Linked DNA regions of Mus musculus. The protein of the gene in region 7 interacts with the protein of the main gene of each other region in a biochemical or structural test. Links are inferred from orthologs where the notes say so. Each region holds a gene or a part of one and is shown on either strand. Other genes may lie near its edges. The genes, in order: Mapk14, Brf1, Abl1, Lin9, Prdm2, Ccnd2 and Rb1.

The links.
Region 1: of the proteins of Rb1 (region 7) and Mapk14, one has a biochemical effect on the other in vitro, tested with the Homo sapiens proteins (3 studies listed by BioGRID and IntAct). The link is inferred for Mus musculus from reciprocal best matches to the Homo sapiens genes RB1 and MAPK14.
Region 2: the proteins of Rb1 (region 7) and Brf1 form a complex in vitro, tested with the Homo sapiens proteins (2 studies listed by BioGRID). The link is inferred for Mus musculus from reciprocal best matches to the Homo sapiens genes RB1 and BRF1.
Region 3: the proteins of Rb1 (region 7) and Abl1 form a complex in vitro, tested with the Homo sapiens proteins (3 studies listed by BioGRID). The link is inferred for Mus musculus from reciprocal best matches to the Homo sapiens genes RB1 and ABL1.
Region 4: the proteins of Rb1 (region 7) and Lin9 form a complex in vitro, tested with the Homo sapiens proteins (2 studies listed by BioGRID). The link is inferred for Mus musculus from reciprocal best matches to the Homo sapiens genes RB1 and LIN9.
Region 5: the proteins of Rb1 (region 7) and Prdm2 form a complex in vitro, tested with the Homo sapiens proteins (2 studies listed by BioGRID, with this or other methods). The link is inferred for Mus musculus from reciprocal best matches to the Homo sapiens genes RB1 and PRDM2.
Region 6: of the proteins of Rb1 (region 7) and Ccnd2, one has a biochemical effect on the other in vitro, tested with the Homo sapiens proteins (4 studies listed by BioGRID). The link is inferred for Mus musculus from reciprocal best matches to the Homo sapiens genes RB1 and CCND2.

What each region holds. Positions count from the first base shown.
Region 1 is NC_000083.6:28,725,842-28,729,341, reverse strand, and holds part of Mapk14 (mitogen-activated protein kinase 14), read right to left. Parts: coding exon 3,498-3,500; intron 3,117-3,497; exon of another isoform or gene 2,638-3,116; intron 986-2,637; coding exon 871-985; intron 439-870; coding exon 367-438; intron 1-366. UniProt on the Homo sapiens protein: Serine/threonine kinase which acts as an essential component of the MAP kinase signal transduction pathway.
Region 2 is NC_000078.6:112,966,122-112,969,621, forward strand, and holds part of Brf1 (transcription factor IIIB 90 kDa subunit), read right to left. Parts: intron 3,361-3,500; coding exon 3,321-3,360; intron 3,237-3,320; coding exon 3,144-3,236; intron 1-3,143.
Region 3 is NC_000068.7:31,790,939-31,794,438, reverse strand, and holds part of Abl1 (tyrosine-protein kinase ABL1), read right to left. Parts: intron 2,202-3,500; coding exon 2,017-2,201; intron 1-2,016. UniProt on the Homo sapiens protein: Non-receptor tyrosine-protein kinase that plays a role in many key processes linked to cell growth and survival such as cytoskeleton remodeling in response to extracellular stimuli, cell motility and adhesion, receptor endocytosis, autophagy, DNA damage response and apoptosis.
Region 4 is NC_000067.6:180,639,873-180,643,949, forward strand, and holds the start of Lin9 (protein lin-9 homolog), read left to right. Parts: upstream 1-1,277; 5' UTR 1,278-1,446; coding exon 1,447-1,525; intron 1,526-1,977; exon of another isoform or gene 1,978-2,120; intron 2,121-4,077. UniProt on the Homo sapiens protein: Acts as a tumor suppressor. Inhibits DNA synthesis. Its ability to inhibit oncogenic transformation is mediated through its association with RB1. Plays a role in the expression of genes required for the G1/S transition.
Region 5 is NC_000070.6:143,209,910-143,213,871, reverse strand, and holds the start of Prdm2 (PR domain zinc finger protein 2), read left to right. Parts: upstream 1-1,162; 5' UTR 1,163-1,257; intron 1,258-3,962. UniProt on the Homo sapiens protein: S-adenosyl-L-methionine-dependent histone methyltransferase that specifically methylates 'Lys-9' of histone H3. May function as a DNA-binding transcription factor.
Region 6 is NC_000072.6:127,144,549-127,148,048, forward strand, and holds part of Ccnd2 (G1/S-specific cyclin-D2), read right to left. Parts: intron 1,635-3,500; coding exon 1,475-1,634; intron 1-1,474. UniProt on the Homo sapiens protein: Regulatory component of the cyclin D2-CDK4 (DC) complex that phosphorylates and inhibits members of the retinoblastoma (RB) protein family including RB1 and regulates the cell-cycle during G(1)/S transition.
Region 7 is NC_000080.6:73,323,023-73,327,249, forward strand, and holds the start of Rb1 (retinoblastoma-associated protein), read right to left. Parts: upstream 2,801-4,227; 5' UTR 2,620-2,800; coding exon 2,501-2,619; intron 1-2,500. UniProt on the Homo sapiens protein: Tumor suppressor that is a key regulator of the G1/S transition of the cell cycle. The hypophosphorylated form binds transcription regulators of the E2F family, preventing transcription of E2F-responsive genes.

The DNA.
Region 1 (3,500 bases), on a different chromosome or scaffold from region 7:
CAAATAGGACAGGACTCAGCGGGCGTGTCAGCAGAGGGACCCACAGTCTGTTTAGTACATAAGCAAATGTGAGAACCAGATACCTCTGAATACAGGTGGCCGTGTACACTCACCAAGGATTTTCAGGAATAGACTAAACTCATTAATAAAGGGACTTGCTGCAAAAATATGACAGGTGAGTTCTAAGCTTGTTTTCTCAACCCCAAAGCCTTTTCTTGGCAAGGTGAGCAACTCAACAAGAGGACAGACCTCAAAAGCCACGCTGGAACTGCAAAGAACTGAGTCTTCCCCACCAATGAGTTAGGGAAGCACACATCTACCACAGCACACACATGAGAAACAGGGCCAAAACGTGTTAAAGGATACGGTCTGTACCAGGAAACAACGTTCTTCCGGTCAACAGCTCAGCCATGATGCAGCCCACGGACCAAATATCCACTGGAACAGTAAAGAGGATACAAGCACCGACATGGTTTCTATTCATATTCATGGACACAAATGACTCTAACTATGAGTGAGAGATTCAAGTCAGGATTTAAGACACCCAAGGTTTGACAATCTTTTTTATATAGAAACAAACTTATTAAAATTGTCACTCAAGAAAAGACTCCACAGGTCGTGCAACTCAGAATATAATTAAGATAAAAGAAATAAGCAACTCACAAAGGGGCAAAACTTTGTTACTGGTAAATGGTGAATCCTCCCAGGAAACATAGGTGTTAGGATTAAGAGACCACTCCCCTCAGGTAGTGTCACAGAAAGAATGACACGGAAGACGTAAGAAGTAAGGCCCCAGCTGCTAAGTCACCTGAAAGCCATGTTAGGGAGCACCCCTTCCCCATCTGGGGAGGCGACTGAAGCAGTCAGTACCTGTCTGGTTATAGTGCATCCAATTCAGCATGATCTCTGGGGCTCGGTACCACCTGGTAGCCACGTAGCCTGTCATCTCATCATCAGTGTGCCGAGCCAGCCCAAAATCCAGAATCTAAGGGCAAGAGCAGAAGTCAGGCATGGGAGCAGCAAGTTCTGCTACCTCACAACCAGGAAAGCAGAAAAGTCACTTTCAGAAAGAGGGCACCCCAGTTTTCACTTAGAATGCATGACATGATAAAACACTCCAAGAAACTTTAAAAATAAAGCTTCAAGCAAAGCAACCCCCCCCCCCATTTACTCAAGGATAAAAACATATGCCCACACGGGTGTGCACAGGAATGTTCACAATAGGTTTATATTCCGAACCACAAGTGCTCACTAATAGGACAGCAGCGTACAAACTTTGGTGTGCTTATGAAAAGGAAACTGCTGAACAACTGGGAATGCTGGAGCACACAATACAGATGAGCACACAATTCAGTAATGTGCATGACCCTCGACAGTTCCATTTATACGAAACAAGATTAATCCAGAGTCAGAATTGGGTCAGTGGCTGCCTGCATTGAATGAAGGGTGAGAGTCATGGGTCACTAGGAGGGGACACTCAAACCTTTTGAAACTATGGAGGTTACTATGTCATCACTGTGGTTACATGGACATTACAACTCTACTGTAGTCTCTCCTCCCCCAGCCTGAAACCTGCTTGCTCAGGGGTGGAGCTTCCCGCTCATCTGTTCTGTCACGCCCACTGCTAGAACCTGCGGAGCCACACACGTGCACCTTTTTACTGGACCAGAGATTATTTGGCGGAAATCGGGTCCCCTCCCCCTTCTTTTATAACTAGTGTCCCAACAATAAAATTTGAGCTTTGATCAGAATGAATTTATCTTGGCTCCGTTTCTTCTTTCGCCCCGTCTAGATTCCTCTCTTACAGCTCGAGTAGCCTTCTCAGTCGAACCGTTCATGTTGCGAGCTGCTGGCGGCCGCAACACTCTACAAAGAAGTACATTTCTTTTCCTTTTCCATTTCATGTACATGGGTGTTTTGCCTGCATGGATATCTGTGCACCAAGTCTGTGCAGTGTCCACAGAGACGAAGAGTGGGCATCAGATGCTCTAGATGCAGATGGCTGTGAGCAGCCATGTAGCTGCTGGGAAATGAGCCATCTCTCTAGCCCCCTGCAGACATTTCAAAAAATTCATTGCTGGGCAGTGGTGGCGCACGCCTTTAATCCCAGCACTTGGGAGGCAGAGGCAGGTGGATTTCTGAGGCCAGCCTGGTCTACAGAGTGAGTTCTAGGACAGTCAGGGATACACAGAGAACTGCTGCCTTGAAAAACCCAAATCCAAAATAAATAAATAAATAAATAAATAAATAAATAAATAAATAAATAAATAAATAAATAAAATCATAAAAAAGCATAGTGCTACTTCCTTTTTTTCTTTTTCTTTTTTATTAGATATTTTCTTCATTTACATTTCAAATGCTATCCCGAAAGTTCCCTATATCCTCCCCCTGCCCTGCTCCACAACCCACCCACTCCCGCTTCCTGGCCCTGGCATTCCCCTGTACTGGGGCATAGAATCTTCGAAAGACCAGGGGCCTCTCCTCCCACTGATGGCTGACTAGGCCATCCTCTGCTACATATGCAGCTAGCGACACAAGCTCTGGGGGGTACTGGTTAGTACATATTGTTGTTCCTCTTATAGGGTTGCTGACCTCTTTAGCTCCTTGGGCAGCTACTTACTTTTTTTTTTTTTTTTTGTATGCTGCTTTATTGTATGCTACAGCCAGTGTATATAAAATAGTTAAACCTTGTGAGACAGAAACCCATGGAATTCAGAGAGGTAGATGTTAAGGACTGACGAGCAGAAGATAGTGTATTATGGCACGTGTTAAAGAGAAGCTTTTGTACAGACTTCAAACTTAGCTCTCTTGAATAGTCACTGGTTCATGAAAAGTGGTTTGAGAAACCTCAAGATAGATGACTACAAAAAGGAGCAGACTTTCTGGGGTCTGAAGGGATTTGTACTTGAAGACCCTCCAGTCAGCAGAGGGTCATGTTGAGCATTCTGCAGACAGAACTGCTTCAAGCCTGCAGCTGCCAGGGAAACCTTCACGCGGTTCAGCCCGGCCTCCAGCCGGAGCTGCTGAACCACCTTCTTCATGGCGGCAACGCTAGAAGAACCCAACATGGCGCTCGGGACAGCAGGGCTGACTCGTCAGTCTGGGCAGGGGGCAGCCTCTACTTACTTTTTAAAGACTTAATTTTAATTTACTTAGGTTTTATTTAGATCATTCTGAGATCTGCAATTTTTCCTTTTAGGAACCTATCTAATTATCAGTGTTCCAGGAAGGCTTAACTGACATTTAGACTATAATATCCCTTTATTACAATTAATGTGTTGCATTTCTAATTTAATTATCTTTTAAAAATGAAAACAAGATACCGACATCTACTTCCAAAGTTACTTAAACAGCTTGTTCAGCCTAGTTCAAGTCTCACAGTCTGATATTCCTAAGGACAAATGACTTTTTAGATAGCAAGTCGTGGCTTAAGTGTGGTTGGTCACGATTCTGGGGAACACTTAAGAGAAGCAAACAGTCCATCTCTTCTTTCTTACCTT
Region 2 (3,500 bases), on a different chromosome or scaffold from region 7:
TTTCTGCAGCAGAGAAAGTACAGTCCTGATGCAAATGGTGCCGGTTATCCACGTGCAAGAATAACCTGGCTTATTCCTCATGCTCTGTGCAAAACTGGCTTAAATGTGGTATCTGAGAGTCTAAGAATATTCAGGAAAGACAAATAAAATGTTTGTGATCTAGGGTTAGGCAAAATACCTCAACAACACTAAAACACAACCCATAAAACACAGATAAATAGATTTTTGAAAGAATCATGATTTTTTTACAAGAGAATTACAAGCCTGCCCTGTGAAAGACATTGTAAGACAAAGGTGAGCCATAGTTTATTTACAGGTAATGTCTGAAAGGACAGTCTAGACACAGAAAAACAGAAAGGAAGGAGAGAAAACAGGGGGGCTGGCTGCATAAATGCTGACAGTGCTGTTCAGACTATTTGCCAACACCACCTCCACCAGACCCAACAATTCCATCTGCCCAGTACCAAGGAAGTAAGTATGGGATGAGCCCGTACATAGGGCTACCTGGGACTGATGCAGATGCACTTAACAGGAGTGCCACACTCCTCACCGCACTAACAACACCTACCCAATACAGAGGGTCATGCTGCCAATGAACTGCATAAAAATCATGCCAAGGAAAGGCAAGGGAACACACTATGTCTACAAAAGATTTCTGCACAAAAGTATATAAAAGACCACGAATTCAGTGACAGAAAGCAGCCAGTGGCAGCCTGAAGTGGGGAGAACAGGTGGATGCCATTACAAAGGACACAAAGATAGTGGCAGGGACAAATCTCAGTGGCAGAACACAGTGACTGTGGTGCTGGCCTCACCTGACACCAGGGTTGTCCACAGTCAACACTCAGAAGCCAAAGGTGCTTTAGCTCTGTCTCCATACAGCCTGCAGCGTGCACACAGTGCCTTCTAGTGTTTGATCTGAAAGGCACATCTCTGTCCCCAGCTGTAGAAGTGGACCTAGAATATCCAGCTAGTTGTTTTCTGCTGTGCTCCAAAGCCATGATGTGTGGAAGAGGGACACAGATAAAGTTCAAGAAAAAGAGGAAACTACACAAAGGACATTAGCACAGACAGCTAAGACCAAGAGAACTCTACTAAAAAGGCTTAGTAAGTAGACAAGCTTGCTTCAGACCACTAAAGGAAGAAGGATGCTTCAGATCGGATCAAGACACGAAACATGGTGTCTGTTGTATTGGAGAAGTCTCCCAGGTGAACATAAAGTGAAAGAGAAGGACAGAGACTTAGTAACACCTGGGTCTACGTGTGCCCCAAGGGCTTCAGGCATGAGGGTGGCAAAGTGCCTCCTGTGGAAGATGAGCCTTGGAAATCATAACAAGGCAATGGCCTTGTATGTGTATGAGGGGCCACTGGAGGAAGTAAGGGGCGACCAAACTCTGAAGGAGCCACTATGTGACAGGTTCTCAATATCTATCAAAACTGACAGTGGGACAGCCTCACCTCTGTGCCCATAACACAAGGTGCCCCTCTGCAGTGTCCATGGATGATATTGTGTGCCCAAGAAATACCGAGGAGGAACAAATCAGTAACAGGTCCTGGTCACTGCACGGCACCACAGCAGTTAGTAACCAGCTCACAACACAGCCCCAGAACTTCCATAGCTCCCTCACATGTGCAAGAGAGGAAATATCTGGAGACTAAAAAACCGCCAACAGGACAGATCTCACAGGAAGTTCACTGCCCCAAATGCACGCAGCCAGCAGACTGAGAACAGAGAAGGCAGGCAGGAGGCCTGGAAGGTGGAATAAGATTGGAAGGATGAAGCCTGGCAGAAGTGAGGCCTGGTAAACACAAGGCAGCAGACTGGGCATGTACAGGATGCTCGCCCAATCATCAATAAGCTAGGACAAGAGAAAACCACTACACAGAGAAACCACAAGTGGCAAACAACTCTGCAAACAGACAGAACCAAACCCTGGATAGGAATGAGTAGGGCAGCTATTGAGGCCCAAATGATGCCTTCAGGAATGAGGGAGAACCCAATGGTGTGACAGTCAGGACACTGGGTCATATTCACCCATCACAGGATCTCCACAGATACCATGGCCCTCTCAAACCCTCATATCCACAGAGATTAAAAAAACGCAAGCAAAAAAAAACCCCTCTTGACAGCAATGCATGGGTGGGCGTTGACTCACCATGACAGATGAGGGAACAATGTGCCCAGCACGTGCACCCTAGTCCATGGGAGCTAACATGAGGATATACTACTGTCCCAAGATCACCAAGATGCTGCGGGGTCAGGCAGACTTAAGAAGAAATTAAGAGCAGCAGAGTCACTGTTTGCAGACGACAGAATCAAATACTTAGAAAACTCAATGGCAAAATGACTGCAACTACTACAGGTGGCAGGAGAGCTCACACTGCGCAGGAGCAGTCAGGACACAAGCTGCAAGTTGCTGTGGGGACCAAAGGGGGAAAGATGCTACTCACAACAGCCCCACGGAAGGCAGCAGCGTGGTACTGCACAGGAGCAAAGCCTGGACAGAACAGAAGCTAGAGAAGGACAGAAAGACAAGTGCCACAGCTTCCCCCAAGCTGACAAGTAAGGCAGACTGGGCTGGAGTGGTGTAGACAAGGTGATCCTAATGTGGACACAGAACATAAGCAAGCATCTGCAAACACTGAGGGATCCCAAAAAGGACATTCACACTTGCTTGGCATGTCTCAAGATGTTAGCACAGTGCCAGTCTGATGGGCAGAGATGCCCAGAGTAGCTTCCCCAGAACAGGTGCCAAAGAAGGAAGCAGGCACCCATGCTTTTTCATTCTGCACAGCCCAGAGGAGAGTCATCTAACAACACAAACGGTTACAGCAACTCTGAAAAGCCCACAGCAAACAGCACAGGGCATAAGAAAGAGCATCCCTACAGTCGTGGCCTTGCATCTTCAACAGTCTGAGTGGACAGCAGGGCTCCCAGTACGGCACATGCAAGGTTGAAGCTCTTCTACGGCCAGTGAACGGTGAGGCGGGGGAAGGCGTCCCAGCAGTAACATGATACCCAAGTTAGTGCTCCAGTGTAGGGAGTGACAAGCAGCCAGGGATGGGGTCATGGATCAGTGAGTAGGGAATGTCAGGGGTGCTGGTCTAGGGCCCTCATGGCCCATAATGGCAGGGGAACTCACCATCCTTTGACAAGTTGGCCAGAGCCCCTTTTGCTTTTGGTCGACTGTTTTCTAGCTCAATTTCAATGGCATCCTGGTAACTGGATATTTCACCTAGAGTAAGACGTTAAAAGCAAAAAGTAAGCACACTGATGTCCAAGCAAAAAGGAAGCACGGGTGTGAGAAGCGGTTAATTACCTTCAACTTCTTCTAGCTTTTTTGATAGGACCTGTTCCAGCTGAAAGACAAAAGAGTCTTGGGTAAGGAGTCAAATGCACAATGTCTCATTTTTGACAAGGTTGTGGGATGGCAGAGCTCATCAGAATCGAGTTGTAGGCCTGGCCCTCTCCTTCCAAACAACATGCATGTTGCCCCAGA
Region 3 (3,500 bases), on a different chromosome or scaffold from region 7:
AGGTGGAAGGAGAGAAGCGTCCTCTGACAGTCCTACGTATGCCAGAGCATGCTCACACACAAACAAACATATCACACACACACCAAAACACCCAAACACATGTAACACACACACGCACATACACACACTCTCTCTCTCTCTCTCTCTCTCTCTCTCTCTCTCTCTCACACACACACACACACACACACACACACACACACACACGCAAATACAGCCACTTTCTCACACACAGACATGTGCACACACACAGCATGCACACTCACACACATGCTCTCTCTCTCTCTCTCTCTCTCTCTCTCACACACACACACACACACACACACACTCGCACACGCACACGCACACACAGGATGTACAGGTACTCTCAGTCCCAGCAATGACATTTACCAGGCTCTCTGTGACAATAGCCCAGGAAAGATAGGACAAAGCAAAGCTATCTACTCATGCACACTACAGCGTGTAAGGGCGAGAGGCAGCGTGAGCCTCCTGGGGCGCAGGGTCTCTCAGGGCTGTAAGTCAGCTGCCATGTTCTGATCCTAGCTCTGTGACTGTGTAGCAACATGCCTGTCAGGCCATGGGCTGTTTCTAGGTGGGTGAGATTATCTCCAAAGTCCCTTCCAGCTCTAAACAGTTTGTAAAAATCTTGTGAGCTCTCAAAGTCTTGGCATTCTTTTGGGATTTTTTTGGTTTTCCGAGACAGGGTTTCTCTGTGTAGCCCTGGCTGTCCTGGAACTCAGAAATCCGCCTGCCTCTGCCTCCCGAGTGCTGGGATTAAAGGCGTACGCCACCACCGCCCGGTGCACACAGATTTATGCTCCATGGCCAACTGAGTATGGAAGAAAGGAGGTGGAGACTGATCACGTGACAGAGCTGCTAGTGAGCCACCACCGTCACCAGCAGCTGCCACACCATAGCCCTCTGGTGCAGTGGTTTCCCAACCTTCCTAATGTTGTGGTGACCCTAAGCATAAAATTATTTTCATTGCTATTTCATAACTGTAATTTTGCTGTTATGGATTATAATGTAAATATTTTTGGAGATAAAAGGTTGCCAAAGGGGTCATGGCCCAGAGGTTGATAACCACTGTACTACTAGAGGGAGAAAAATCAAGCATTATGGATCGACCAACCTAAAAGCATCCGCCTCTGCTAATGTACTTAATGAAAGAAAAGTCAGCTCAAGTGTCAGGAGCTACCCGGGTCTGACTGTGCAGCTTCTAAGAAGACTGAAGCTAGAGGCACAAAACAGATCACAGCACAGAGACACAATGAACAAAGTCTAGATTCTGGAAAGTCTAAAGGAATGGTGACAGAGTTTATCAATAAATGAACAGCAGGGAAATACAGAACACATCAATGTAGTGAGGGAGCCACATCTGGCTCCCAGGTGAAGCAAATACTGAAATGTGTATGTACAAAATAATATATTTGGGATTTGCTTTCAAATAACAAGAGGTAAGGGAGTAGGCGGGGCACAGGGCTCACTACTCAACTCCACCTTCTTTGGTCACCCTTGGCATGAGAAGTTCTTAAAGATGGACATTGTGGTGCACACCTTTAGTCCCAGCACCTGATTTGAAATCCCAGCAACCACACGGTGGCTCACAACCACCTGTAATGAAATCTGACGCCCTCTTCTGGTGCGTCTGAAGACTGCTACAGTGTACTTATGTATAATAATAAATAAATCTTTGGCCCAGAGTGAGCAGGGACTGAGCGAGCAGAGTTGACTGGAGCAAGTGGGGCCGACTGGAGCAAGCAGAGGTCCTAAAATCCAATTCCCAACAATCACATGAAGGCTCACAACCATCTGTACAGTATAATGTACTCACATACATAAAATAAATAAATAAATCTTTAAAAAAAGAAAAAAAGGAGGAAGCAGGAGTTTAAACTAAGCCAGAAATGAACCAGAAAGAGGGCATAGTGGTGGAGGAGAGACGAGGTATAGCAGTAAAGAGCCTGCGAAGCAGAAGGGGAAGCCCCTGGCCATGACTGCCCAGGACCTGGACCTTACCCCACACGTCCGACTTGATGGAGAACTTGTTGTAGGCCAGGCTCTCAGGTGCGGTCCATTTGATGGGGAATTTGGCTCCAGCATGGGCCGTGTAGGTGTCCCCTGTCATCAACCTGCTCAGGCCAAAATCAGCCACCTTCACCAAGTGGTTTTCCCCTACCAGGCAGTTCCGGGCAGCAAGGTCTCTGAGGAAGAAAAAGGGTCATCTGTGGGTGCTCCTGGCTGACTCCCTAGGTGTGTAGCTCCCCTACTATTGACAGGTATGACGCTGACAAAAGAAGACCAAGTGTAGTCCCCAGAAGCTTTCAAATACCCTGCTGTGGAGCAACAGTTCCTCAGCAAATACCAGTCGGGCTACAGCAGCAACACCACAAGCAGACAGGGTGGCAATGGGGGCAGGTCCTGTCCCATGACCTGGAGTTGTTAATTACCTCACATATAAAATGACGACAGTAACAGGGTGTGCCTTGGGCAGCTGTATGTGATATCCCTACTTTCTTCTTGCTTCCTGATGTTGACTCAAGTGTTTGAGAAACTCTCCCATATAATCACCTCCTGAATCTTCACGGGAGGAAGGGTCTAATCTTTGGTTCATGGCTGTTAACCATGAAGTCCTGAGGTAACTGGGAACCAAGGAATGAGAGTATGAGGCAGCTCAGGGCAACGACTGCGTGATACAGCTTGATCACCAGCAATGAGAGAAAAATTAAACACACAAGAGTTGTGCCTAATAGGATTTTTGGTAAGGCATTTTTAGTATGTGAATGGAGGGGGAACGGAGCTGGCCATGCAAGGCGAGCCAGAAGTCAGGAAATCTCAATTTGCAGCATCAGAGGCTACACTTTGCTGAGCGACAGGAGCATTTGGATTGGGCTCTCGTGGAGCAGAAAAAGATCTGTCTTCCGAGGGGCTGCCAGCATTTCATACACGCTACTTATTCCTGGCTATGAAATCTCATGTTGAGGTTTCACACTTGAGTTAATTGGGTAGGAAAGGTCACCACAGTGGCGTGGAGAACATCTTGCATGACGGAGTTGGGCCAAGCCCATCAGGCTCCCTCCTGCACAGGTTGTCACTCTGCTAGGAAGCCACTTCCACCAGCAAAGCATGCAAACCCAGATAATTGTGGCACACTTGAAGGTCAAAACACTCTGGGTTTTAAAAACAGCAACCGGCTTGCATGTATATAATTCTCCAGCCATGGAAACATCCCTAAACCCGGTGACAGCTGGTAGGCAAGGAAACACAAAGAAAAGGAGGAAAAGCCACACAATGAAGCTAAGCCCAGGCAGAGAGAGGCTTTACCGAGTGAGTGCTGGCCTCAGGAATGCTCGGTTTCAGAGGGAACCAAGACTATCAGGAAGAAGGCCTTTTACGAATTTCATTTAATATTCAACTAAATCCGAAGTGGCTCAGAAATGAAACACTTCTTTCCCCAGGGATTAGCTGCTCCACTGGCCCAGGCCTTGAAGCATTTAGTCCCG
Region 4 (4,077 bases), on a different chromosome or scaffold from region 7:
ACTAGTCTTTCCCCTCACCTCTCGAAAGGTGGATTTTCCATCCTGCCCCTCCCTCCACCCCAGATTCAGCGGTACTCCCTACTGTCTATAAACTGGAGGCTGTAGCAGCAAACAGCTGGCTGCAAGGAGCCATTATAAGTTCTTTCCACTCATTAAGCAAGAGTGGAATTTTTGCCTGCATTTTACTGAGGAGAAGTTGAAGCACAAGTATTAAGCTTGCCTGGGACTGATACAAGTAGCAGCCCAAGTTGCACCCTTAACTTTCACAGCCTGCTGCCCTTTTCCTGAGCCTGAAGTCTTCCACTCTATTGCTCGCCCAAGAGTCTCATCTTGTCTTTCTCCAACCTGTGCCTCACATTCTTGAATGTGTTCTAGAAAAGAAATGAAAGCCTGCCCTTCGTACTACTTAAGACCTCGCTTTATTCTTTTTACCAAGCCCAACTTAGCCTGGGCTGGCCTGTCTAGATCTGCTCTCACCTCACTGAACCATCTTTAAACTTTTTAGTTTGTGGAAGTCACTCATCCACTCGTTTTTGTTTTGTTTTAAATTCTCCATTCGCCGACTACCCCCTCCTCATAAATCCCTGGAGAATAGACCCACCCCGGAGATCAACCACGCTTGTAAAAATAGTAGTTGAAAAGCCACCGTGGTTTAAATACTAGAAAGTGTTACAGATGGGAACCGTGAAATCTTTCCCGGCTTCTTTCAGCAAGGGAGGAATCCCCATCCAGTTTCATTACACTTGGCTAGTGTCACTTGTGTCTTCCCCAAGCATCCTTAGTCACTGTGAGGCTCCCAGCTCACTACCGGTCTCGGGTGGAGCGCATTAGAGAAAGAAAGCAGGACAGTTCACTAGCCCTCGGCCTACACCAACTTGGTGACCTCTCAAGGTCTCGTCCCGGCCGCTCGCAGCTCAGGTTCCGGCCCGGGCCGCCCGGACCCCGCGTCCGTGACCTGCAGGCGAAGCGGACGCCGCGGCCCGGGCACTCGGTGGGGGGGAAGGGCAGGGGCCGGGGCGCCGGAGAAACGCGATCTGGGGAGCCGAGTCCACGTTACTTTGGGCAGAGCCCCCTCCGTGCCAAGCGACCAGGAACCCAGGTCTCGTCCGCCGCGCCACCGGCCCGGGCCTGCGTCCCGCTCCCCTCGGGAACCGGCCTGCAGTTCCCGCAGCCGCAGCGCGGGCCGCGCGCCGGGAGCGAGCGCAGGCGAGGGGGGCGGCGCGGGCGGGCGCATCGGTGCTGGCGCCGCGCCCCCCGCGCTCGGCCCTACCGGGCCTCTCGGCGAGGCGTCCCCTGTCCTCCTCCGGGCCCGGCCCGGGGTGCGGGCGAGGCCCCGAGGCCCCCTCCCGCCGGGCTCGGGCGGAGCCGGACGGCCTGGCGGGAGCAGGCGCCGCGGGCCGCGAGCTCCTCATTCGAACCTCCCTCGCAGACAGTCTCCGCCCCACAATGCACCGGGGCGGGCAGCCTTTGAAAAAGCGGCGCGGCTCGTTCAAGATGGCGGAGCTCGACCAGTTGCCTGACGAGAGTAAGTAGCGTCTCAGAGCAGCCCTCCTTCCCGCCGGTTGCCCGTCCCGGGGTCGCACCGGCCGAGTCCGGTTGCCGGGCAGGTGGGATGGCCGCCAGCCCACCGCAGTCCCCGGCCTTCCTCCTCAGGCGCTGCCGCCGCGTCGCCGCCTTTGTTATGGTGTCTTGTGTGTCTGTTTCTGGGGTTGTGCGAGCGCCAGCGCCGGAAACCGAAAGCCCGGGAGTCCAGCCTGTCCTGACGGAGTCGGCGGCTGCTCTCCCGGAGCGACTGCTGTCGCCGGCCGGGGTGGGCGAAGAGCGGCCCCCCAGTTGCGGGCGCCGTCCTCCTCGCCCGCCCGGTTATGTAACTCGCCGGCCGGGGGCCGGGAGGGCTCGGGCTGGGCACCGGGGACACAGCCCCTCTTGGTGCCCCGGGCCTCCGATCTGATCCTCTGACGGCTCCTGCTTCTGCAGGCACTTGTGATCGCTCCCCCCGACCCCCCGCGTCCATCCTGGAAGTGTTTTCTTCCGTGTCACACAGGCTTGGCCCCTTCCCCTGGGACTACAGGTGGCCCTGGACCTTTCCGGAGATGATCCAGCCGGGATACAGTGCCGAGGTAGCCCCATTCCCAGTCTCCCTCCTGAGTGGATGTGTCTCTAGACTGTGGGGTGGGCATTACACACGGATGTGAGCACCGCAGCCCATATAAGTATGTTATTCTGCCTGACACCCACCCCTGTTCACTGCCTCACTTCTCCTTCTATACTCACAACCTCTGAGACGGATGTTCACCTGTCCGCAGACAGTAAAGCCAGCTACTCTGCGACCTAAGGACAAGGGAACAATTTTGTAATTTTCATATTGCACACATTATTAAAAGGCATTTTAGTTACAAAATGGTCTTGAAGCAACACGTACTCTGTGGTGTGTATTTGTAGCCCTTGGTCAACGAAAGGTTCGCAGGTGTGGTGGCGCACATCTTTAATCTCAGCACTCGGTAGGAAGAGGCAGGTGGATCTCCGAGTTCGAGGCCCACCCAGTCTACATACCAAGCTCCAGGACAGCCAAGGCTACACAGAGAAATCCTGTCTTGGAAAACAAACAAACAAACAAACCTCCAAACTGAGCAATCTGTATTTAGAACGATTGTATCATTTTTATGACAAATAAAGTAGTGGTTTTGTTTTTTAACCATTTGGTGTGCCCCAACAGGAAGTCAGGTCAGAGAAACCCGTTTCAAAAGCAAAGAAAAAACTCGAACTCTGTAAGATGTATCTGTGGGCAACGCAAATATGCCTTTAAAAGAGAGATAACTCTTAATTCTGTTTTCTTTGATATCGTGTATTTCTTATATTGTTAAGTCAGAAGTTCAGGTTGCCAGTATTCAGAATGTTTGTGTTTTAATTTTGATTTAGACCAGTGCTAAGTCTCAAAAGAACGTTCTCGATGGTGGATGGAGATGTCACTTTTCTAGTGTGCAGTGAGCAACCGGTAGTCACCTGTGACTAGATGGCTCAGGTGCTGCTCTTTTATTTCTATTTAATCTTGACTTATATTTAAATAGCTAGTGATTACTGTATTGATAAGGCATTATCTATAGAATATCCCTAAGTTTATCGTTCTTGTTTGGAGAATATGGTTGATTGATATTTACGATGCTTGAAAATATAGATAATTCAAGTAAGTAGAATGTTACCTGCCATCTGAAGAGATTTTTTTTCTTAAGCTGGGCACCGTGACGTGTGTTAACCTAACACATGTGAGCTAAGACAAAAGGCTAACTCTTAAGTTGGAGGCCAGCCTGGGCTGTACTGTAAAATGTTTCATCATCTGTAATGGGTACGCTCTGTGACTTCTCAGGGCTGTCTCACCTGCAGTCACACGGTTGTTGGTCAGCAGCCCACCAGAGCTGAGCCACTTAGGCTTTTCCTCATGCCTGTGGTGATGGTTAATTTTGATAGCTTGATTGCATTGAGAAATACCTAGGAGATCAGCAAAGCACACCTCTAGATGTGTCTGTGAGCATACCTTTAGGAGAAGGATTTTCTTACTTGTTCTTTGTACAAACTTAGGGTTTACATTGAGGTTCAGATATTAGCTACACTGTTACACTATGTATAACCTAATTGTTGATACTACCATGCAATGTCTCTGGGACTTGGGGAAGGGTGTGTGTGTGTCTTTTTTTAGCTAAACTACCGGTTTGTCAAAAGCAAGAATTGTAATTTTGATTTGTTAGCAATGACACAAATAGACTTAAAAATTTGACTAAAATGGAACTGAATTTGGAGTAATATTACTAATAAGATGGAGCATGATCTTGGAAAGAGAAAGTAATTTCAGTGTGATTTGAAAAAACACTAATTTTTTTGTATTTTTCCCCCCAGTTTAGTTAAGGGAGCTATGTAGTATATTAGCTAATAGCTCCTGTAACATCAATTATAAAAGTTATCATTTCCTGAGTATTTACTGTAACTAGGTGTATAAAAAAAGAAATACACATGCATGTACTCACGCACGCCTGCACTCACTCACGCACAGTCCCGTTTGCTTTCCGTACATTTGATCTTCAT
Region 5 (3,962 bases), on a different chromosome or scaffold from region 7:
CATAAGCAAACATTTGAGGTTTTATTTCCTCTCTCCACGGGCTCTGTGGTGATCCAGACCTTGACAACACTTGACATTGTCCTCACCTGTCAACAGTACTGATGAGATAATCACCATGTCACCAATCCTTTACAGAGTATACCACAATCCACGTTGATTGACGTACTTTCTAAACAACAGGTACATTTGATGAGCTTGTCTGGTCTTTCCAAAGTTTTGGAGGCACATTTGAACATAATACATTATCTATTTTTCAGATCCTTTTCTCAGAGGACTAATACGGCCCACTACACTTAGATTTTTTTTTTTTTTCCTTTCTTCTCAGAGGATAGCTTTATCTTGAAGTACTCATGGCTCTGGGTACCATCTAGATGTGACAAGTAACTTTCATCTCTCTACAACTTCAGATTGATTGGCAACTATGTTCCCGTCAAACCTCTTTTCTGGGATGTCAGAAGTGGTCTCCAGTTCAATCCAATCCATCTCCAGCTCACTTGTTTGTAAATAGTGGTGCAGTTCCCAAGGGCAAGATGAAGGCCATGCTGGGTACCACAGAGCCTTGGCACTGACCTAGGCCCATAGCTGGCAGTTAGCAAATGCCTCCTGGTAAGGGATGAATACAGCCGCTCAGTTGCATCTGCTTTGCTGAAGTTTCGGGTTTGTGTGTGTGTGGCTATATTGGTCCTTTGCACACCATTTAAACGGTCTATTTGCCTGGCAGTGGTCTAGTGAGTGGCCTTCAGAGTGGATTCTGCTCTTGTTTTTCTTGAAACAAGGTCTAAGGGTGTGGTCCTGCCTTCCTGGAATTCACTATGTAGCTCTGGCTGCTTCTGCCTCGAGTTTGGGGATTAAAGTGTGCGCCACCACGCCAGTCAGTCGCGGTCGTCTGAAGTAGGGTGGCTTCTCTGACCAACTCTTGAGTTTCTCAGCCCTAACTCTATAGTGGTCAGGCTGGCCCGGCCATGGCGACGCGGGCTTCCCTTCGAGGTAATAACGCTCTGGGGCGAGCGGCGAGTCCGTGATTGACAGAGAGGGCGACACAGTCCGCCGGGGTCACGCCTGACCGTCGTGTTGAGCTCCTCGGGGTCGCAGGCCACGAGCTACGCGCGGGGTCGGGGTCGGGGTCGGGGGTTGTGGGCGCCGTGCCGACGTCACTTCCGGCCGGAGCCAAGATGGCGGCGGCGCGGCCGCGGGCGCCAGAGCGACGGCGGCGGCTGCGGCTCTGGGCTCGCTGAAGCGTTGGCACGTCGCGCTCTGGTGAGGAGCGGCGGAGCCGGGGAGGGCGGGCGGGCCTCGGGGGAATGTCCCTTGGTGTCAGTGAGGAGTGTGGCCACCGCGGCGGGGGCGACCGGGCCGGGCGCTAAGGGGATTGCGGGGCGGGCTGACGCGCCCCCTTCGAGCTTCCTCCGAACGGCCGGGAACCGGTGGCTGGCGCTGGCGCCGACGCGAGGCGGCGCGAAGGCTCCCGCTCCGCGGCTCTTAAGTCCCCGCGGCCAAGTTTCGGGTCCGTTTGGTGACGGCGCGGCGGACTCGGGGTGCGCGGCTGCGGGGTCGGCGGGGAGCGCACGTGGGCCCCGGGCGGTCCCCATCCGCAGGGCTGCGCTGATCTCTGCTCTTTTGTGTCCCGGGTTGAATGTGCGAGCGCATCTGCAATCCTCGAGTTGGTTCTGTGCCTCGAGCCTTTGTGTTTTTCACCCCCGTATAGTTTCCGTGTGCTATAAACCTGCCAGTGGGCTCCTCGAGTGTCCCCCATCGACCCACTGGTGCATACGTGCATGTGTCACAGGTGTGCGCTAGCATACATAGGACTGGTTTGCGTTCGTCAAAAGATCCATCTACTATGTCTCCGAGGGTGACGAGCGAGACACGAAATAGACCTTAACAGGTCAGTGTTCTTCCACGATCCACGCGTGAAGCACCGGCCAATGGCCTAGCACTTACCGTTAGGTCGGGCCTCGAGCTGGGGAAACAATCCCACAGATCGCCGGGAAGCCCCGTTGCCTCTTACTACCCAGCTGGAATTTACACCTAGAGAAATGGGGTTTCCCTTCACCCCCCGCATTTCATGTATTGAGGATTTGGGTGTATTTGACACGTGAACTGCCTTTTGCCAAGTTCCAGTGCCTTGCCCTTAGGACCCTTTAATGAAACACGGGAATGTTTGTTTCTAGTACACAGTGTCCCCAGAACATGACTAAAATTGTATCTCAAAGTTTTTTTGTTTACTTCGAGGTTATTCTTTAAAGTAATATATACAGCAAAGACAACCTCCCAATGGTTTTTTGTTTGTTTTTTGGTTTTTGTTTTTCTTTTACCTACAATAGCACAGACTACAGTTGGATCATTCTGCCCACGATGATATTGGAAAAGAGGTTTTAGGATATTAAGAGGAGGAACTGAGAGACATTATTCTGTTGTTTTCCTGTTCTATAGAGTTCTGTTTTTGAGATTGCACGCAGCTGCCACCCTCCAAGCTCTCTTTCACACACTTTATTTGATGAAATTTCTTTTTCATGAGCAATCTCGCCATAGCTTTGAAAACCTTCAGAGATCATTTAATAAGCCCCCTTTATTCCAAGCCATGGGAAGAGAGCTGTAAATCCATTGTTGGAAGCAACACTCAGCTGCATTTGGTGTTATTTCAGGGCTCGACCCTTCCCTGCCCCCCCCCCCCAAAAAAAAGCCGTCGATGCATTTACAAAGTTATTAGAACCAGGGACATAATGAGAATGCTCAATGAATGTTCGCTGTTTGTTGATGGAAGACTTGGCTTCGTTGAGGTTTGAGGTGGTTTGTTTTACATTTTCTATGCAGTGCTCGGGATAAGAAGGTGTAACTTTGTAATAATGTATTAGCTCTGTAAGCACAAAACAGCAAAACAGTCGCACTGGAAGACAGTTGGAAAACAGAGGCGCACAAAGAAGGAATAGAAACCGCCTGTAAACTTCCGCCTCCTCAGATAGCCATTGTTAACATTGTAGCAGATTGTCACTAGTCAGTCCCTCATGGTGTGCCTGCTTGTATTTCTTTATTCACATACATTCATTTATAGAAGCATGCACTTCTGTATAATAGTCTATAGAGAATTGATATGTTGTGTATATCGATGAGGCTTGTCTTTCATTATGCTGTTGTGTGTTTCTATGTCTTTAACTGTTCTTCAATTTGATGTTTAATGGCTGATATGTGGATGGGCCATCATTCATTAACCAATCCCACATTGATTTTCAAGGCTTCTAAAGTCTGACATTTCTTTTCATTAATTTTCGGAAGTTTTTTCTCTGTGATGAATTTAAAAATTCTGCAACTATTTAAGATGTGAAAACTGGAAAATCTGCTTTGGTAGTGTCTGATGATACATCTTTTTTTGTTTGTTTGTTTGTTTCAGCTACCTAAGAAGTAACCTCCCTGATTTCTCTGTGGTGTCTGTAGCTCACACATATCTGCACACAGTTCCTTTTGATGATTATTTTATACTGGCTATTTATTTATTAATGGGATTTTTTTTTCTTTTTTCAGAATGCTGATATCTTTTCAACTTTAGATCTGACTTAGACACCTTTCAGGGGTGTGTTAAATCACAGTCTCCAGGGTGGAGAGCACTGTGGAGTATTTGCTATTTTCATGTCTTCTGACTAGTTTCGTGTTAGTTTTAATATATGTAAAGGGGAAAAACCCAACAGCAAATATGCAGCTTTCACTAGCAAACTCCATAGTGGAAGTGTATGTGGGCCTTGAGGGGATACGTCAGACCTGCATGCAGAGAGCATCTGCAGGGAATGCTGCATGTCAGACCTGCATGCAGAGAGCATCTGCAGGGAATGCTGCATGTCAGACCTGCATGCAGAGAGCACCTGCAGAGAATCTTCAGGGAATGCTAGATGCAACCGGGACATCACCAGCTGAGCACCTGCTGAGCACTTCTGCTCCTGCTGACATGCATTTAGGGCTTCATAGTTTGA
Region 6 (3,500 bases), on a different chromosome or scaffold from region 7:
ATCCTCTTCCCTGACTGTAGGAACAGCAGGGGACTCCACGAAGGAGCTGGGACACCACAAGTGTGCTACAAGGCCTGATGCAGGGCCCCGAGGGCTGCTGGACCAACGCAAACTGAGTGCGTGCACGCACTCGCGTGTGCGTGACACACACACACACACACACACACACACACACACACACACACACACCCCTCTAAAACAGGGAGATGGAATCCGGCACGCCAGTGAGAGGCTGTATCCATTTCCGCATCCACCTTAACTGGAGCCATTCTCAACATCAGTGAACTTTCGCAGGAAGCTCCAGGCTTGCTTTTCTGTGGGTCAGTTTCCCTGCCCACTCCACCAAGGCTAGGGAAGGATACATCCAAAGGCCTGTTTTGCAGATCCCAGATGAACTTCAGAGAGGTCAAACAGCCTGAGCGAGGTCACTCAGTGCTAAGTAACGAAGTCTGCCTGACCTCTGAACTTCCAACAAAGCACAGGCCCTATTGTTCATTATAGCATCAGCTATACAAACACATAATTAAATGTTACAAGGAATTAAAATGTTACACTCCACCTCCCCCCACCCCCTATCACATCAACACATTTCAACAACCCTGGATGAATTGAGCTGCACCCCACTCATGATCAATTCTTTCTTTACCTGCTAACCCTGAGGAGATGAACTTTTGACACTTGGCCCCCGAATTCCCAAGGTTCTAGGGCAGCGCTTCTCAACCTCAACCTTCCTAACGCTGTGACCCGTTAATACAGTTCCTCATACCGTGGTGACCCCCAACCATAAAACCATTCCGTTGCTACTTTGTAACTGTAATTTTGCTATTTGTGATTTCTTATGTAGATATATGATATGCAGGATATCTGATATGCAGGATATCTGATACGTAAGCCCTGTGGGATGTATCGACCCACAGGTTGAGAAATGTTGTGCTAGGGTCTTCTACCCAGGTGTGAAGCCAATAAAGCTATGTATCAAAAATCCTCTCCAGAGCTCAGAATAAACGGATCTTTGCTTAAAGGTTCACTCCCTTGTCAACAGGAAACAGCAAGAAGGCAATAAACCAGCTCCACGGTGAAGGAATTCCTTCCCCCTTATCAGGGCGGGCACCATGTTTATCTTGTCGTTGGTCCTTTAACCTATATTTGCCCCCACCTTCCTTAAATTCCCTTTAGGGCTTATCTCCAAGCCGTCCTTTTCCTCAAAAGATTAAAGATTTAAACACAACCAGAGAGCAGTATCTATAATCTTCAAAGGGCACTTTAGACACCATAAACAATATTTTAGCAGGCACCGACTCCCTTCCCCTTACCATACTTGCCCTCATAAAGAACTTACGAGTGAAGCAGAGAGAGAAAATGTTCTAGTTCCGAGAAAGCACGAGCGAGGCTCCAGGCTGGCTTACTCAGACTTGCCTAGACACCCAACCCCACCTCCCATGGCCCCGTGGAAGCCCCGTGAGCCCCCTCTCACCGGTAGCGCACAGAGCGATGAAGGTCTGCGCATGCTTGCGGATCAGGGACAGCTTCTCCTTTTGCTGGGGCAGCTTGCGAAGGATGTGCTCAATGAAGTCGTGAGGGGTGACTGCGGCCAGGTTCCACTTCAGCTTACCCAACACTACCAGTTCCCACTCCTGCAAAGGGTGGGAGGAAGAGGGCAGAGCTCTAAGAATCCATAGACTGACTCCAGGCCCGGGTTGGGGGCTGGGTTCCCGGCCAGCTCTGAAGATGCTCCTTAAGGCTCCACTGCAGCCTCATCTGTCACTGTGCCCCTCATGCTTTGAAGTTGCTCCTGGCTCTTCTTGGGCTAAAAAAAAGTCAGGCTCCACTGAAAATAATGAGAGGCCAGGTAACTACTGCCAAGACCAGCCTTTACTCTAGTTTTCTTCCTACCTCACCCCTACCCCTGACTCCACAAAATGTTCTTGCCTGCCCACTCAGAAAGGTGGGCCTATAGTAAGATCTAGCTAAGGCCACTGTGGTGCTGCGGTGAGAATTTGTTGGCTAAGTCTCTTTACTCCTCATGGAAAAAAATGATGCTTACAGATGCAGAATAGCAGAAGCCTCCTTGGCCCAACTCCTTGGCAGCCAGTTCGCTGGCCTTTCCTTGTGGGGGAAGAGTATCATTTTCCCTCTCTGCTGCCAACACCTTCCCCTTTGACACACCATGAAGAAGTCTTGGGATATGACACTCACCCTTTCACCTAAATCTTCACTGGCCTTTGTCTTCATGGCTAAAGGGCCTGAGGTGGTCACTTGTGACTCCATTTTGCACACTATGATTTGGGGCAATGTGGAGGTGCTTAAACAGGGTCAGCCCATGTACTGGGCTGTAACGGTCTCTTTTAGGGGGCTCCACTGCACCCCACTAGTAGGCTACTTTGTGCCTCTCCTTTTGTAAAATAAACATGGGGAATAATGTTCAAATGAACTGGACTAAATATAATAATACCCCAAAGAGATGCACACCTGGAAGTGCATGTCTGGGATTCTACCTCTTTAAGGCTAGAAGTTTGAGGCTAGCTTGAAATTATGCAAAGGTCCCAATTTTTGTTTGTTTTGGTTTCGTTGGGGGGGGGGGTGCAAACAAAAGGAAATGATCCTGGTCAATCAGTAGGATTCAAAAGCGCAGGATGCTACTACTGCCGGGCAGTGACTGACTCTTCAGTTCACCTGGCTCCATCTGCTAAACTTGGGGACCGGCTATAAAGCCCCTGTCAGCTGGACCAGCTATGGTGTTTCCTGGAGCAAGCTCCCCTCACGTGTAAAATAGGAAGGTTCTTCTAGGGTGCATAACTTATGGATGGGAGGAGATGGGAAGCTGGCACACTTTATTTGGAGAATTGAGTTAGCTTTGCCGGTCCTGGAAAAATTAGGGTGTCTTGAAAAATACCTCCAGTCCTCCAGCACACCAGACACATAGAAGATTCTTTTTCATGTTTTGTTTTGTTTTGTTTTTTTCTTTTTGAATAGACAAGCTGGCCTCCAATTCTAATCTTATTTTTTTTTCCTCCCCACAAGCTTTCAAGTCTGCCTGGGTTTTTTGCAGGAAGTTAGGATAAAAAAAAAAAAATTCCTTAACTACGTAAAAATCAGAAATGGCTTGAATCCCAAACCCTTCCTTCTTCCAGGGCAATGTGAGCACAAACTCGTCCTCTGGCACCATTATTGAAAGAAGCAGATCTTCCAGAAGAAAGCACCTTTAGGGGCCTCTTACACCAAACCAGAAGCAGCTGAAATCTGGCAGTGTTTCAAAGGTGAAGTCATTCAGGCCCCTCTTTGCGTTCTAGGCAATTCCTCCCCCAGCCTTGCACATGTCTGCCACTAGGTGGCAGCACAGACCCAGAAAGGACGGCTCCTCACAAAGGGCTCAGTTCAAGAAGCCAGTCTTTGCCCAGGAGATTAAGCAGGCCCAGGCAATGGCAGCAAGGGGGAGGGAGTCGATAGAGGGGGTGGTCTTCTTTCACCAGTGCAAGGTGTGCAAACCACTGTAAAAGAGA
Region 7 (4,227 bases):
CTCAGTGGAGACGGACCGGGTTGAATCCATACCTAAGCTATTTTCTAAGCTTCAGACTGAGGCAGCCCTCTTATCCTTGCTAAGAACAGGCATACACTACATGATGTGTCACTCAGTAAGGCAGTTTACAACAGTAGTCCTGTAAGATTATAATGGTGCAGAAACATCACTTAGAGCCCATCTTAACCAGCATAACATTGTGGCACAATCCATTTGCTACTTGTGCAGTTAGGGAGATGCTGCTGTAAGCAAGCTGCCACTGGTAGGAGAGAATCATATATACAAGGACATACAATGCCTGAAGCCATTATGTTACTGGCTTGTGTGTTTACTAAACTATAGCTTTATCATTATTTTTCAGCATATTTCTATAATTAAAAGATAAAGTTTACTGCATAGCAGCATGTTTTGTTATACTGGCAGCAGCTTTGTATCTGTAGTGTTTACCACTTCTCTTGATTGTAGCAAGACAGCACAGTGACTAATCTATATATCATCAGTGTTTGTCTAAGTGTATTCTCCAATGATAACACAACATTCATTTAATGGCAGTTCAGAAGAGGTAGCAAATCCCTATGGTGAACACACGTGACAATAGGTAAGTCAGAGATCAACTGTAAGTGCTTTTTGAGAACCTTAGTGGCAATGAGTAACCAAGATGAGACTATGTCTTGTAAAGTTTAATTTAAAGGAGAACTTTTTGAGAATTCTCCAAAGTTAAAAGTACATAAAAGAGAAAGAAACTGGGTCTGTCTTTCCCACAGGCAATGACCAGAACTTCAATGTGTACAGTTACTCTACAATAATCAGTAATAAGTCCATAGATGGCATGGAATCTTTTAGAATACATGTTACTGCTCTTTCTAAAGTGAAGCTTCCACACACTGGATACATCAGAGTTTAATTAGAAACAAAAGCAAACTCTTCCCCTGGAACAGTTTTTATTCTGTATTTATTTTTTAAGAACATGATTTTTATTTGGTCCATAAGAAAATCCATCTAATATGAATTTTAATAGACTTAGACAAGCAATTTCCAAAATTATTTCAGTCTCTTAGGATTTGACCTGAACTCTGTTAAGAGTCTGGGTCTCACAAAGAGCCTTGATTGATGCTCAATGAGAAGAAAGGAGCTTGATAGCCCATCAGGGCTACAATCCCAGAACTTGGGAGGCAGAGGCAGTAAAACAGAGAGCTTAAGGCAAGCCTGGGTTACAGAGTCAGAGTAATTAAAAACAACAAAAACACCCCCTCCCAAAAAAACAAAAACAACAACAACAACAAAAACTCGAGAACTTAATGATGGGCTAGAAATTGAAGGACCGTGAGAGACAAAAACAACTCCCATCTACAATGGATCTATACTCTCAAAACTAGTGCTGACAATAACAACAATCATATTGTTTCAATTTCTGTTACTTAATCACACAGTAGCACAGTCAAGAAAAAAAATGTTGAAATACAATAAATATCTCTCTGTTGTTCTTATTGGATCCACATGAACTTAAGTTTAGATTCCACTTAATAAATGGAGAGAAAAGTTCTTTGAGAGAACACAGTACCAAACACAAGACCAAAAAAGAAAAAAGGGAGGGGGAGGCACCAGAATCCGTGAATGCTCAAAGGCAAAAGGCAAGAAATAATGAAGCATGCTGCGGGCCAATCAGCACGCAAGAAGAGTTCTACCCTGAAAAAAAAGGGGAACAAAGTTTAGAAACTTCCAAGCCCTTGCATTTAAATGTCTCCTGAAACTTTTGCCCACATACCAGTTCTTCTAAGAGTTCTGCTCCATCAGTCTCCACAGATGGCTTTAAATCCCCCCGGGCCTCAAAGCATTGTTCTAAAGAAACCCCCACAAAGCCCGGGAGCTGAGGACCCCGTGAGCAATTGACACCCACGACCCTGCGCTTTGCCTACAAGGCTTTTCTTGGCCTCTCCCAGGACCAAGCTGCCGATGCAGCGCAAGCTCAGAGAGGGCAAGGCTCCCAACTGTTGCATCGCAGGACGACTGCAAAAGAGAAAGTCAACCCACCCCGGGGGTGCTTCGGATCTCCACGGAGAAAAAAGGGAGGAAGAAAGAAAACAAACACCGGTCGAGTTTTTTTTTTCTTTTTTTAAATATTTATTTCAATTGTTTTTGCATCTGACCGGGGCTCTCCGGGACCCGCCGGCTCCGCGCCTGGGCGTCGCTGGAGTAGAGCCTGCACCTGTCACTTCGCTCGGGAGCAGGAGCCCCACCCGCCCGACACCTGTCAAGCCGCAGCCCAGACCCCTTCGGGATGCCCTCCCCGTCGCCCGCGAGCCCGGGACCGTGTCAGCGCGCCGCCGCCACCCCCGCAGAGATGGGGGACCAAGGGGACCCCGGAGACCCGGGGCGCCGCTCCTACCGCCAGCCCGGCCCCGCCGAGATGCGCCCGCCCGGCGTCCCCGCCGGGATGCACCCGGCGTCCCCGCTCCCTTCCCTTCCCTTCTCTCCGGCCCGCGGCGGCCGCGCTCCTCACCTGGCCAGGGGCAGCTCTTCGGGGCCGCTGTCCTGCGCGGGGTCGTCCTCCCGAGGCGGCGGCGGCGGCGGTGGCGGGGGCTCGGCGGCCGCGGCTCTGCGCGGGGCTTTGGGCGGCATGACGCGCAGCGCGGGCCGGCGCGAGCAGCCGAGGGAGGCGCGCGGGGAGGCGGGCGGGCGCGCGCGCACGCCGGGCACGCCCCGTCCTCACCCGACTCCCGTTACAAAAATAATGGGAACGTCCCCCGAGGAAAACCGGACGCGCCCGGCAACCGAGCGCCCGGGCCAACCGCGGGAAAACGTCACTTCCGCCCGCGGCGTCACGTCCGCGAGGCTCGCGGGCCGCGGGCGTCAGTGGGGAACCGGGGCGGCGGTGGCGGCGGCGGCGGGCAAGGGCGAGGGCGAGGGCGAGGGCGCGGGCGGGAAGCCGCGGGGAAGCCGCGCCTGCCCGGGCCTGTCTCCGCCCGCGTCGTCCCCGTGGGCGGCGCCAGCCGAGGCGGGGCCGGCCCGCTGCGAGGAGCCGCGGCCTCTGGGAGAACGCTGGACAGGGCGCGCCCCTCGCCCGGCCCGCGCGGCCGGCAAAACAAAAACAAACGTGCCGGGCCAGTGGGAGGTGGGCTCGGCCCGGGTGGGCGGTCCAGGGTGGGGCCATTGGTGGCCTTCTGGAGACAAGGGAAGATGGGCGATGCACGCACAGACTATAGTCTTTTGATGGGGAAACAGGAGGCGCGGTCCGAGCGGGACAGATCTTAGCGGGAAAGTAGCTTTTGAAAACCAGTTTGCCAGGCGGACCCGACTTTGAAAAATCGCTTACAAACGCGTTTGAGACGAAAGCAGAAAACCAGTTGGCCGTGTTCATGCGCACGATCCGGCCTCCTTTCATAATGGTTTCTCCGAGACAGCCGGTCAAACTGGGAAGGTCGGCATTCCACTTTTGCGGGTTGGAAGTGGGGAGTTCGGGGAGCCAATTTGCCCGCGTCACATAGCAGGTCCCTGGCAGAGGACTCGAACCCAAGTAATATTTGTCTGACCATGTCGCCGACGCACAGACACCGGAAAAGAGCATACTTTATACTAGAACTACCTACCGCCACCAAAAGCTGGCTCAGCAATGGTAGCTTTTCTAGTTACGTTTTACCTGTCAGTCAACATAATTTTCTCCCTTTGTCAGTCCTTATTCATACAACTCACTAATTGAAGTGCTGTGAATAAAATACAGTTGTTGTTCTGGTGTAAACTATCTTGGAACAGCTGAGCAAGGACTGAGGAATCGAGAACTTAATTGGGTAGGTTGCAAGCCTGGGCTTATTTTCTGCCTTGATGTCAGATGAGTGAAGGATACATGGGCCTCCTTCAATTTTCAGACTTGCCTAACTTCAGAAGCCTTCTAGAGACCAAATGTTTGTCAGGAGGTAGAGCCCCAGGCCCTGATGCAGCCACGGAGAATGAATGGAATTAAAATAGCACTTGAGTTCACTTTGTCCCAGATTTAGGCAAGAGCTCAGGCTACATACAGTCTAGGTTTGGTGAAGATAAAAGATAGACTGTGGGAGCCTGATCAAATAATATACAGAAATGATACAGTCCTGCCTCATAATTATCAGAGAATGTGACACTTGGCCAATTGATGCCACCTTGGTATTTGTGGCAAGCTACTCTTAAGTTTGAGACAGAATGGCAAAGGAACTTGGGTCCTCAGACGCGTAACAGAGCTGGTGACCGGTCATC